2 linked regions of the Neodiprion lecontei genome follow. The protein of the gene in region 1 purifies or fractionates together with the protein of each later gene. This does not show direct contact. Links are inferred from orthologs where the notes say so. Each region holds a gene or a part of one and is shown in the gene's direction. Other genes may lie near its edges. The genes, in order: transcriptional activator Myb and protein lin-52 homolog.

What was found.
Region 2: the proteins of transcriptional activator Myb (region 1) and protein lin-52 homolog purify together in Drosophila melanogaster (affinity purification with western blotting; 3 studies listed by BioGRID, with this or other methods). This does not show direct contact. The link is inferred for Neodiprion lecontei from reciprocal best matches to the Drosophila melanogaster genes Myb and lin-52.

What each region holds. Positions count from the first base shown.
Region 1 is NC_060264.1:1,903,893-1,909,025, forward strand, and holds the start of transcriptional activator Myb, read left to right. Parts: upstream 1-2,030; 5' UTR 2,031-2,446; coding exon of another isoform or gene 2,447-2,466; intron 2,467-5,133. Other genes in the region: nuclear pore glycoprotein p62, read left to right, coding at 1-248; checkpoint protein HUS1, read right to left, coding at 717-1,100, 1,197-1,603, 1,701-1,752. UniProt on the Drosophila melanogaster protein: DNA-binding protein that specifically recognizes the sequence 5'-YAAC[GT]G-3'. Component of the DREAM complex, a multiprotein complex that can both act as a transcription activator or repressor depending on the context.
Region 2 is NC_060265.1:25,299,511-25,302,792, reverse strand, and holds protein lin-52 homolog, read left to right. Parts: upstream 1-1,768; 5' UTR 1,769-2,038; coding exon 2,039-2,069; intron 2,070-2,141; coding exon 2,142-2,219; intron 2,220-2,293; coding exon 2,294-2,404; intron 2,405-2,500; coding exon 2,501-2,634; 3' UTR 2,635-2,705; downstream 2,706-3,282. Other genes in the region: signal recognition particle receptor subunit alpha homolog, read right to left, coding at 143-284, 502-543, 767-1,136, 1,476-1,592; X-ray repair cross-complementing protein 5, read right to left, coding at 3,086-3,100.

The sequences.
Region 1 (5,133 bases):
ATACCCAATTGAAGCAGATGTCCGAAGATTTAAAAGAAATAATTGAGCACCTTAACGAAGCGAATAGATCTCAAGATTCAAGTGACCCGATTGTCCAGATTGGTAAAATACTGAATGCACATATGAACAGTTTGCAATGGCTCGATCAACGTACGTCAGTTTTGCAAACAAAGATACAGCAGATTGATCAAATGCATCAAAACTTTAGACAGGAACATGAGCGAAGCTTCAATTTGGCTTATAATTAACACCTCTGTCGCCATTGAACAAGTGACTACTTTCATAGGACCTTGGATGAATTGCAAACTTGACCGTCAACGATTTCATCTTTCAGCGAATTCAGATATGCCAGTTGAACATCTTATTCGGTGGGTACTCTAATTCAACTACACAATTCAATTTTTTAATCTGCATTAAGAATACAATTCGAGTGGAATATTGACATGACCGAATATCTGCTGTACTTCCAAATATTGTATGAATTTTGTTTTGTTTTCAAAGAGTAAAAAATGCACTCCAACCAATCTCAGAAAGATTGATATTCATTATTACTGCAAGTCCATCGTTGGAGGACTGTCTTGGTCTACATATACATAATGAGATAATTGTTTGAATTATATGGCGATCAGGAATCTGAATCGATTAATTTCCGGTGTTGCACAAATACGTAATTTTTTAATATAAAAAAAGTTATAATTTATTATTCTAATTGATTTCTACAGAATTGAAATGGCTGGTATGAAATAGTGTATTTCTAAATGTCCATCAATGTTCATATGCATGTTAATCATTCTGTCAGCCACTACGTTGCAAATTACGCTTTCGGCTTTTATTATATCCCATGTTAGAAACATTCCAAATTTCCTAATATCTATGGTGGCCGAAACTTCTTCCTCTTCTTCATCCGTTACTCCTGAGTCTCGATCGTCTCCTCCAACCTTCAAGTCTTGAAAGTGCGTCGCTACGGTAGCAAAACTGGTTTCCACCTTCAGTATTAATTTCCCTGTTTTCTTAGCAGTTACGACAAGTTGTGGACTCATTTTTCCCATCTGATCGACAACATTTCGCAAGTGTTTCATGTCTGGCATCTCTATGGAAACCTGTAACAAAAAATAGAGATGCATTTGCAGGAGTAAACTTGATCGCGAGCTAAGTTGCCAGACGATATGATTCAGTATTAGGTCTCTTCAACATACATCGAACGACGGTATAATTGGAGCCTGATATTCCCCCCATTCTTTTCGAGGAATTACTTTAACAGGTACATCATGAACGCACTGTCTAAGCTCGTTGCTTATCGAAGGTAATTCAATATCGATAGTGAGACATGGCTGTTCTCTGTTGGTAAGTTTGATCTTGACGCTCTTGGCGGTCATTTTGAGGGAGCTTAGGCTCTTTGCGAGCATGGCAGGTGAGAATTCGAGGTATATCTCATCCTGTTCCTCGCACACACCTACCATGGTGTATTCGCTGAAGAATTTGTTTTGGTACAAAACAGCCCACGCTATCGGCGAATAGTCGTCACCGACGTGAAAGCACACCTCGTCTTTTGTAAGACGTATCACGCAAGCCTTTGCCAGGCGGGATACCGTGTTTGCCACATCTATCGATTGAAATATACAAAGTTGTTACATTTTTCGTACACATAAATTATAAACAGGTTATGGTTAGGCCAGTGAAACATCGATCTTTCCTCTTACTAGTGAAGTCGCGCATCGCTGCGGAGTCGATCATTCTGCATCTGAATTTCATCCCGACGAGTAATAAACAGAACGAATTCCCAGTGAACCGAACGTTTACCGCGAGGCTCTCGCAGACAAATCAGCGGCCTGTCAAACAAGTCAACATCGCACGTCCGTTGGCGCCGTTCGTTTGGTTCCGTTCCGGCGTTCCGCCACACCGGTACTTCGCTCAGAAGTTTCTAGATGTCACCAGTGTCACCGAAACAGTCGGTTCCCGCGCTGCCAGCATAATTTTCTGCAAACGAAAACTTACCCTGCGCAGCGGTGGTGATCGCCTAACGAATTCTTCGGGGACCGAGGCTGCCGCCGGTCGTCCTTTGTGTAAACAAACAGAACACCCGCCTCGCGCCGGAAACAAAATAAATCTATGATCGTGCGGTGTGTGCTTTAAACAATTCTCGGGGTGTTCGATTCGCGAAATCCGTGAGAGTGATCAGTCAGTGTGTGCAACGCTTAAAACTGTATTTCGACTAATTTGACAAATTAACCCGGACAGCGTGCAGAGAGGGTGAGAAATAGATGCGTCGGCCATTTTGCAGATATTGTTATCATCTCTGCACGCTCAAAGCTAATCGATAATGCTATAATAACTAACCAAAGAGTGAGAGAGAGAGAGAGAGATCGCTTACACTTCATATTCTCTCAAGTAATCCCTTACCGAGAGAATTGCAAAAGATCGAAGAACATGTCCTGCTCGGATTGAAATGCAGTTTTATCGAGCTAGGTGAGTCAGAAGACTAGAAATACATTATTCCAACTTATCGTACATACATACATAAATTTATTCGCTACCCAATTCAATGATCGTCTCTCGGTGTTTACTAAACATTCGCAAGGTGCTAACACGCTTCTTCGTCTTACATTTTTTCTTCTTCTTCATTTTTTTTTTTTTTTCTTCATCTATTTCGAACGCGAAAATCTCTCTGCGGCGATTCTCAATTGTTGACAGTTCTATTACATCTCGTGACGCTAGTCACTTTACTTTCGCATGTAAACAACACGCGTTGTCTGCCTTGCCAGCGTAATCAGCTGTGCTCAAAGACCGCGTAATTCGTCATTCCATAATTTAAATCCTTTGCGATTTGTTACTTATTCAACTCCCCTACGGATCCTTACACCGCAGCTTTGCACATATACATATATATTTGCGTAAACAAAATCTAAGCTGCTGCGCTTACAATGTACCTTGCAACATTATGCATTTTAGTAACGATCCGATCGTTGTTTTAGGCACATTTGAAACAACGGTTACAATGTTCGTAATACAACATTCGAATGTCGCGTGTGATTTAGCATGTTTTTTAAAAAAAAATTCTCAGCCTTCTTTCATGTTTTCGTTTTATTTTATCCGAAACAACGTCTTCGTTCGATCAATACCCCCTGCTTCCCAAAACTCGGTGAAAAATTCACCCCTCCGTCTTTGTAAGACATGTGGTTCAATGTTCCTTCGTTCCTCCTCCTTCTCTTCCGTCTTTTGTTTTTTTCGACTGCATACTTCGCCGTTTATCGCTCACCTAGAAAGAACGACGACAGGTGTCTGCCGGAACACGTGGCCCGCGGCAGTCGCACCGGGCCTTCCTGTTTCATTTTTTCACGTTACTTGTTTTATCGCCGTTTATCTTTCCCCCCCTTGTTTTATCAATGCCATAATACCCCACGCACAGCGACTCTATATCTCGATGCCTTCGTCGTCAGGCGCAACTGTAAAAAGCTACGAATCACGAGAGCGCGTTTAAATTTTCCCGCGCATTCCGAGGTGTGTCGATCGAAAGAAAAAGGATCTAGATATTCGTGTAATAGCGTATGAAATTTCTCAGGGTTTTCAGTAGATTTTTGAAAAAGGTGAAAACTTTTGGGAAAGTCGGTAGAAGGAAGGGATTATGGTATTTTTCCATCTCCGACAGAGCAGACCAGGTTATCCTAATTATCCTTGTTCTCAGGACGTTCGAATCGCAATGAAAGAACGACTCTGTATTCGTAATAAGAACGTTTCAACTCTGTGGGATATGTGTACCTACATACGTATACATTATTAAACGTATCGCATATGCGTACCTATACCGATGTTTAAACAAAGAGCGCTTGTTTTTCCATATGCGTGTGCACACGTCCACCATACATGTGATTATTTGCTCTCGGCGCAGCATGGCAACATCACCACACGCGTAAACGCGAGATGAAATGGGCCAGCAGCAGCCGTGGGAGGTACATGCATATAAATATATATATACATACACAGGAAATCGAGTATATCTTGCAGGAAGCGAGTAAAGGGTTCGTTCGGTGTCAGCTTTCCATTGAAAAGAATCGAATGAAAAAATAAAAACTGCACCAACGACGGAGTCAAATCAACGAATTGAAACCTTTGGGAAGAATACGATATGTAACAATACGAAGAACATTACATTGTCATCGGGATTATTATCATTGCACTCAAAATATAAACAGAATAGAATGAATTAATTTCCAAGTTTCATCAATCGTTAAATCGAGCAACGTCTTTTTTCTTTTCTTTTATTTCAACTGTATTTTACTTTATCTAGGGTATGCATAGGTTCAGATAATTGGGTTCGCGAGTTTATTAAAAGAATTATCAGGTAGCGAAATTGAGAGTGTTTTGAAACAGATGCTTTAATAGCAAAACGCGTGCTTACAGTTTAAACTCGGTAACAAGACTGTTTTTACAATAATGTTACTTGACCCAGCAACCTTATTCATTTCATAACACAAGAAAGCTCTCACACGTCTTTTATCCACAATGACGACTAGATCATTAGAAAAGTGGCTTTAAGACGGCAGCAAGCTGCTTCCCTCTCACGATGATACATCTTTCGCGTGATTCTATTTATCAAGAATAAAAATAAATTCTCCGTCGTTGATAATAGCGAGCGAGAAGAAAGAGAGGGAGAGAGAGAGAGCGATTAGGGAGAGAGGGGGTTTCGGTGTGACGCAATCGCGTCGTCCCGCATAGCAACTAACGTTGAGGACAATCAGTCAGTCAGTCAGTCAGACAGTCAGTCAGTCGGTGGTAAGTGAGTAGGGAAGGACGATCGTCGGGAACGAGGAACGAATGAAACCTCGAACGAAACCGAGGAGGGTTCAAATGTTACGTCGTCGTCTGGTCGCCGGCCCCCCCTTCCCTCCTCCCCCCCGTCTCCTCTTTTCCCTCCATTCCCATTCCCATTCCCCATCCTTTACTCTCCTTGCGCCCCATACGAAGAGCGGAGAGTCAGATGTAGATAATATAAAAAAATTGGAAGTCGAGTCCGTGGTAGTTGAACGTTTTTCTCATGCACGGCTCGTGTCTTCGTTTGTACGAATTATAAACAATGTCGAGAGGCGAACTCGACGAGGTTTCGAATCGAATCGCTGTTGCTTCAGGTTCCTGTCT
Region 2 (3,282 bases), on another chromosome or scaffold:
CATTGTGCCAATGATCAAAAAGTTTGTGGCAGGGGGAGGGGGGTTTGTCTCGCCCGGAATATATTTTTAATGGAAGCTGTTGCTTGTTAATTTCATCATCATTATACTACAGCAAACCGCAAAATTTTGGAAAACTTCTTACTGTTTATCTGCTTTCTTCTTTGGCCCAGCTATTTTTTGTACAAGTTTGAGTCTATTAGCTAAGAGAGTTTCTTCGTCCAACTCTCCATTTGTAACTGGAGATTGTTTTGGTACATCTGGTTTGACAGGTTCTTGAATTTTCACTGAAAAATTTCGTATGTAAAATTTGAATTAACATTATACGATTTTCCACAAATTTAGAAACCTTGTGGAATCTCGCCACATCCTTGCATTCAAAATCACCAGCAGATGAAATATGTTTAGGAATTAAGGTTACAGTGAGAATAATTGATTAATGTGAAAAAGGAATACGATTTTAGTAACTAGATTCACACAACAATGATAGCAGTTACCACTTACAATGACTATCATCATTGGAAAAAATCCCCTTCTTCTTCTTTCCTAAAAATACCAAGTTAGTGAAGCGTTATGATAAGAAGGGACGTAAATGATAATGTAATCAACCCAAAGCATCAAAACTATATCCAACTAATGATACAAGTTTCTTACTCTTATATACAAGTCTACTAAGTAAGAAATACTTGCAAAAGTTTGCAAACCAGGATGAATACCCAGATGGAATAGTTAAATCTTGATTTTTAGTTGAAATAGCTAAACACTTTACCTTGTTTTTTGTTGTCTTTGTCGTCCTTTCTTTCAATCATACTAGCGACAGTTTTCTTTGATTTAATACTTTCATCGAATGTACGCATCTGCTTTGGAAGTTTAGCCTGGTGTTTTCCCCATTGCTCAGCAGCTGCTAGTATGGCATCATAACTATTCTTAAAGTTAAAATTATAGAACCACTGTGATTTTGCTAGCTCATTTTTGTATCGATCTCTGAACTCAAGATGAACGTCGGAAAGAAACTTATCCACATAGGATAACTGGAGTATCTTTTGATATGCCACCACAAATATAAGCTCAAATTCATTGTCCAGCTTGTATTGAAGTCGCAACGAGTCATGATCAAACGTATGGCTACCTGTTCGCTCCTGTAAATAATATGCCAATTTATTTTGCGATAACTTATTCCGTTACTGAAAGGTCAAATCAACTAAGCTGATCCTTTTCTCATACAGCAGATGCTTCTTCAACAATATGATTTTTGTAGAGTTAAATGTAACCAAAATTCACACGAGTGCAAATCCATTGCCATATGTTCAGGCTGAACAGTTGTCGAAGGTAAGATATTCCAACCAGTGGTTGCAACGATTCAATACCTTGTCGAGCATGACAAGCACAATATAACATCGCGGACTACCAGTTGATTTCGATGAATGGAAATTAAGTCAACACTTGGTAATTGTAATAATGTTGTTTTGAATACTTGCCTGTAAAATAACACTGCGAATCAATGCGTTGACACTTGGTGTAAATATTTGTGTAGTACTTTGAAAACACCAAAGTACTATACCGCCTTTGCTGAATATTGTAAAGAGATCGAGCATTTTGAAAACACGTTGCTGTAAATATCAATTTTAAGAAACGAACTTAACCTAACAAACGTGAACTGCGTTTGACTTTTGGTACACGTCTCTACACGTCAGATTGGATTAATGGAACGGCGGAAGTTGATGAACATGAAATCACGATGGAGAAACAGAACAGACACTAGTAGGAGTATTACGTATATGATCACAACTCGGCGGACATTTTTTTTAACGCAAATGTCCGCTACCAGGTGCGCATCGTTCTCAAGAGCGGCGAATCTTCGGTATGACGCTGGTCTATTCGTTGTATTATAGTTCAGTGATGCATACAACCCATACAACACTGTGACCGATTCATACGAATACACATGCATACTCATACCTACCGCCATATTGCTCCGTTTGAAATATGATTGAACCGATTGAACCAGCCGCAGAGAGCGGGAAATGAAGTAATAAACAAAATGGCGTCCGAGGGACCCGCGAACGAATCAGGTTAGGATGTAATTTAAAATTTCAACAAAGAATGGTAAACAAGAAGCGAATACCTGTTGTTATATTTTTCAGAGCTGCTTGCGGTTGACGAGAGTCTCATGAGCTTGGAAAAATTGGATCGAGCATCGCCGGACCTCTGGCCTGAACAAAGTGAGTTCACCATTAGATTACCCAAGGTCTTAAATTTCCGTAATTTTTTATTTATAAAAGTTAGTTTATATCAGCGAATGATGAAGTTCCAGGTGTGAACGAATACGTCGCTCAAAATTCCCCTCAAACAGAACCACCTTCGTGGGCAGCGACTCTTGCAGCTGATGATATAAATAAACTCCATCGTAAGTGTCTCAAACTGACTTCTTTGCCTTGAATCCCATATTCTGTTCTAGATTTAAGACCCTTATAGACTCAACAGTTTACTCATTTTATTTCAGAGCTCGGTAACCTTTCAATGACTGGTCTTATTACAGAAGTTAAAAAACTTCACGATACTGCGTACCAACTGGGATTGGAAGAGGCCAAAGAAATGACTCGTGGAAAATATTTAAACATATTTAAACATAAATAGTTTCATAAAATTAGAATAAGTGTACTTATGTATGTATGTAAATATTTTTTTGAATGAAATCTTTATAGAAATTCTTCTCTATCGCTCAATATCCATGAGAAATTTTTTTTTTTGACCAACATCCAATGATGTAATTGATCAGAGATGTTATAATATTATACCGCCTAGAAACCTTCAAGTTTTTATCGGTATAGTTGCTTAGATAGTTGGCTCTAAAAAAATTTGTTCAACTTGTTGGTGAGATTACCTGTAAGATTGAAGGAATAGTGGGATAGCTATGCGGAATGTAACCTTGAGAAAAGCAATGGCAAATGTAAATATCACAAAATTTTATTTAAAAATATTTCATCCTTACATATTTATACGAGTTATCAAGTAAGTACCTTTGGATAGCGAAGTAATGGAAGATTGTTGATTAAGACCTTGAGCCAGTCGAGCATTGTATCATGTTCTACATGCTTTTAGCCTAGAAGCGAATGGGAAGAATTCTAATAATATGTGACTAGCTATTTTATAAACAAATTAACATGATTGAATTTCTTTCTTTTTTTTTATCAAAACTACCTAATGCTTCAAGATTCCCTCATGCACTGGACATCAATGAACAGTATCTAGGACCACTTCAGCATTATGTGGCAGCTTAGCAGA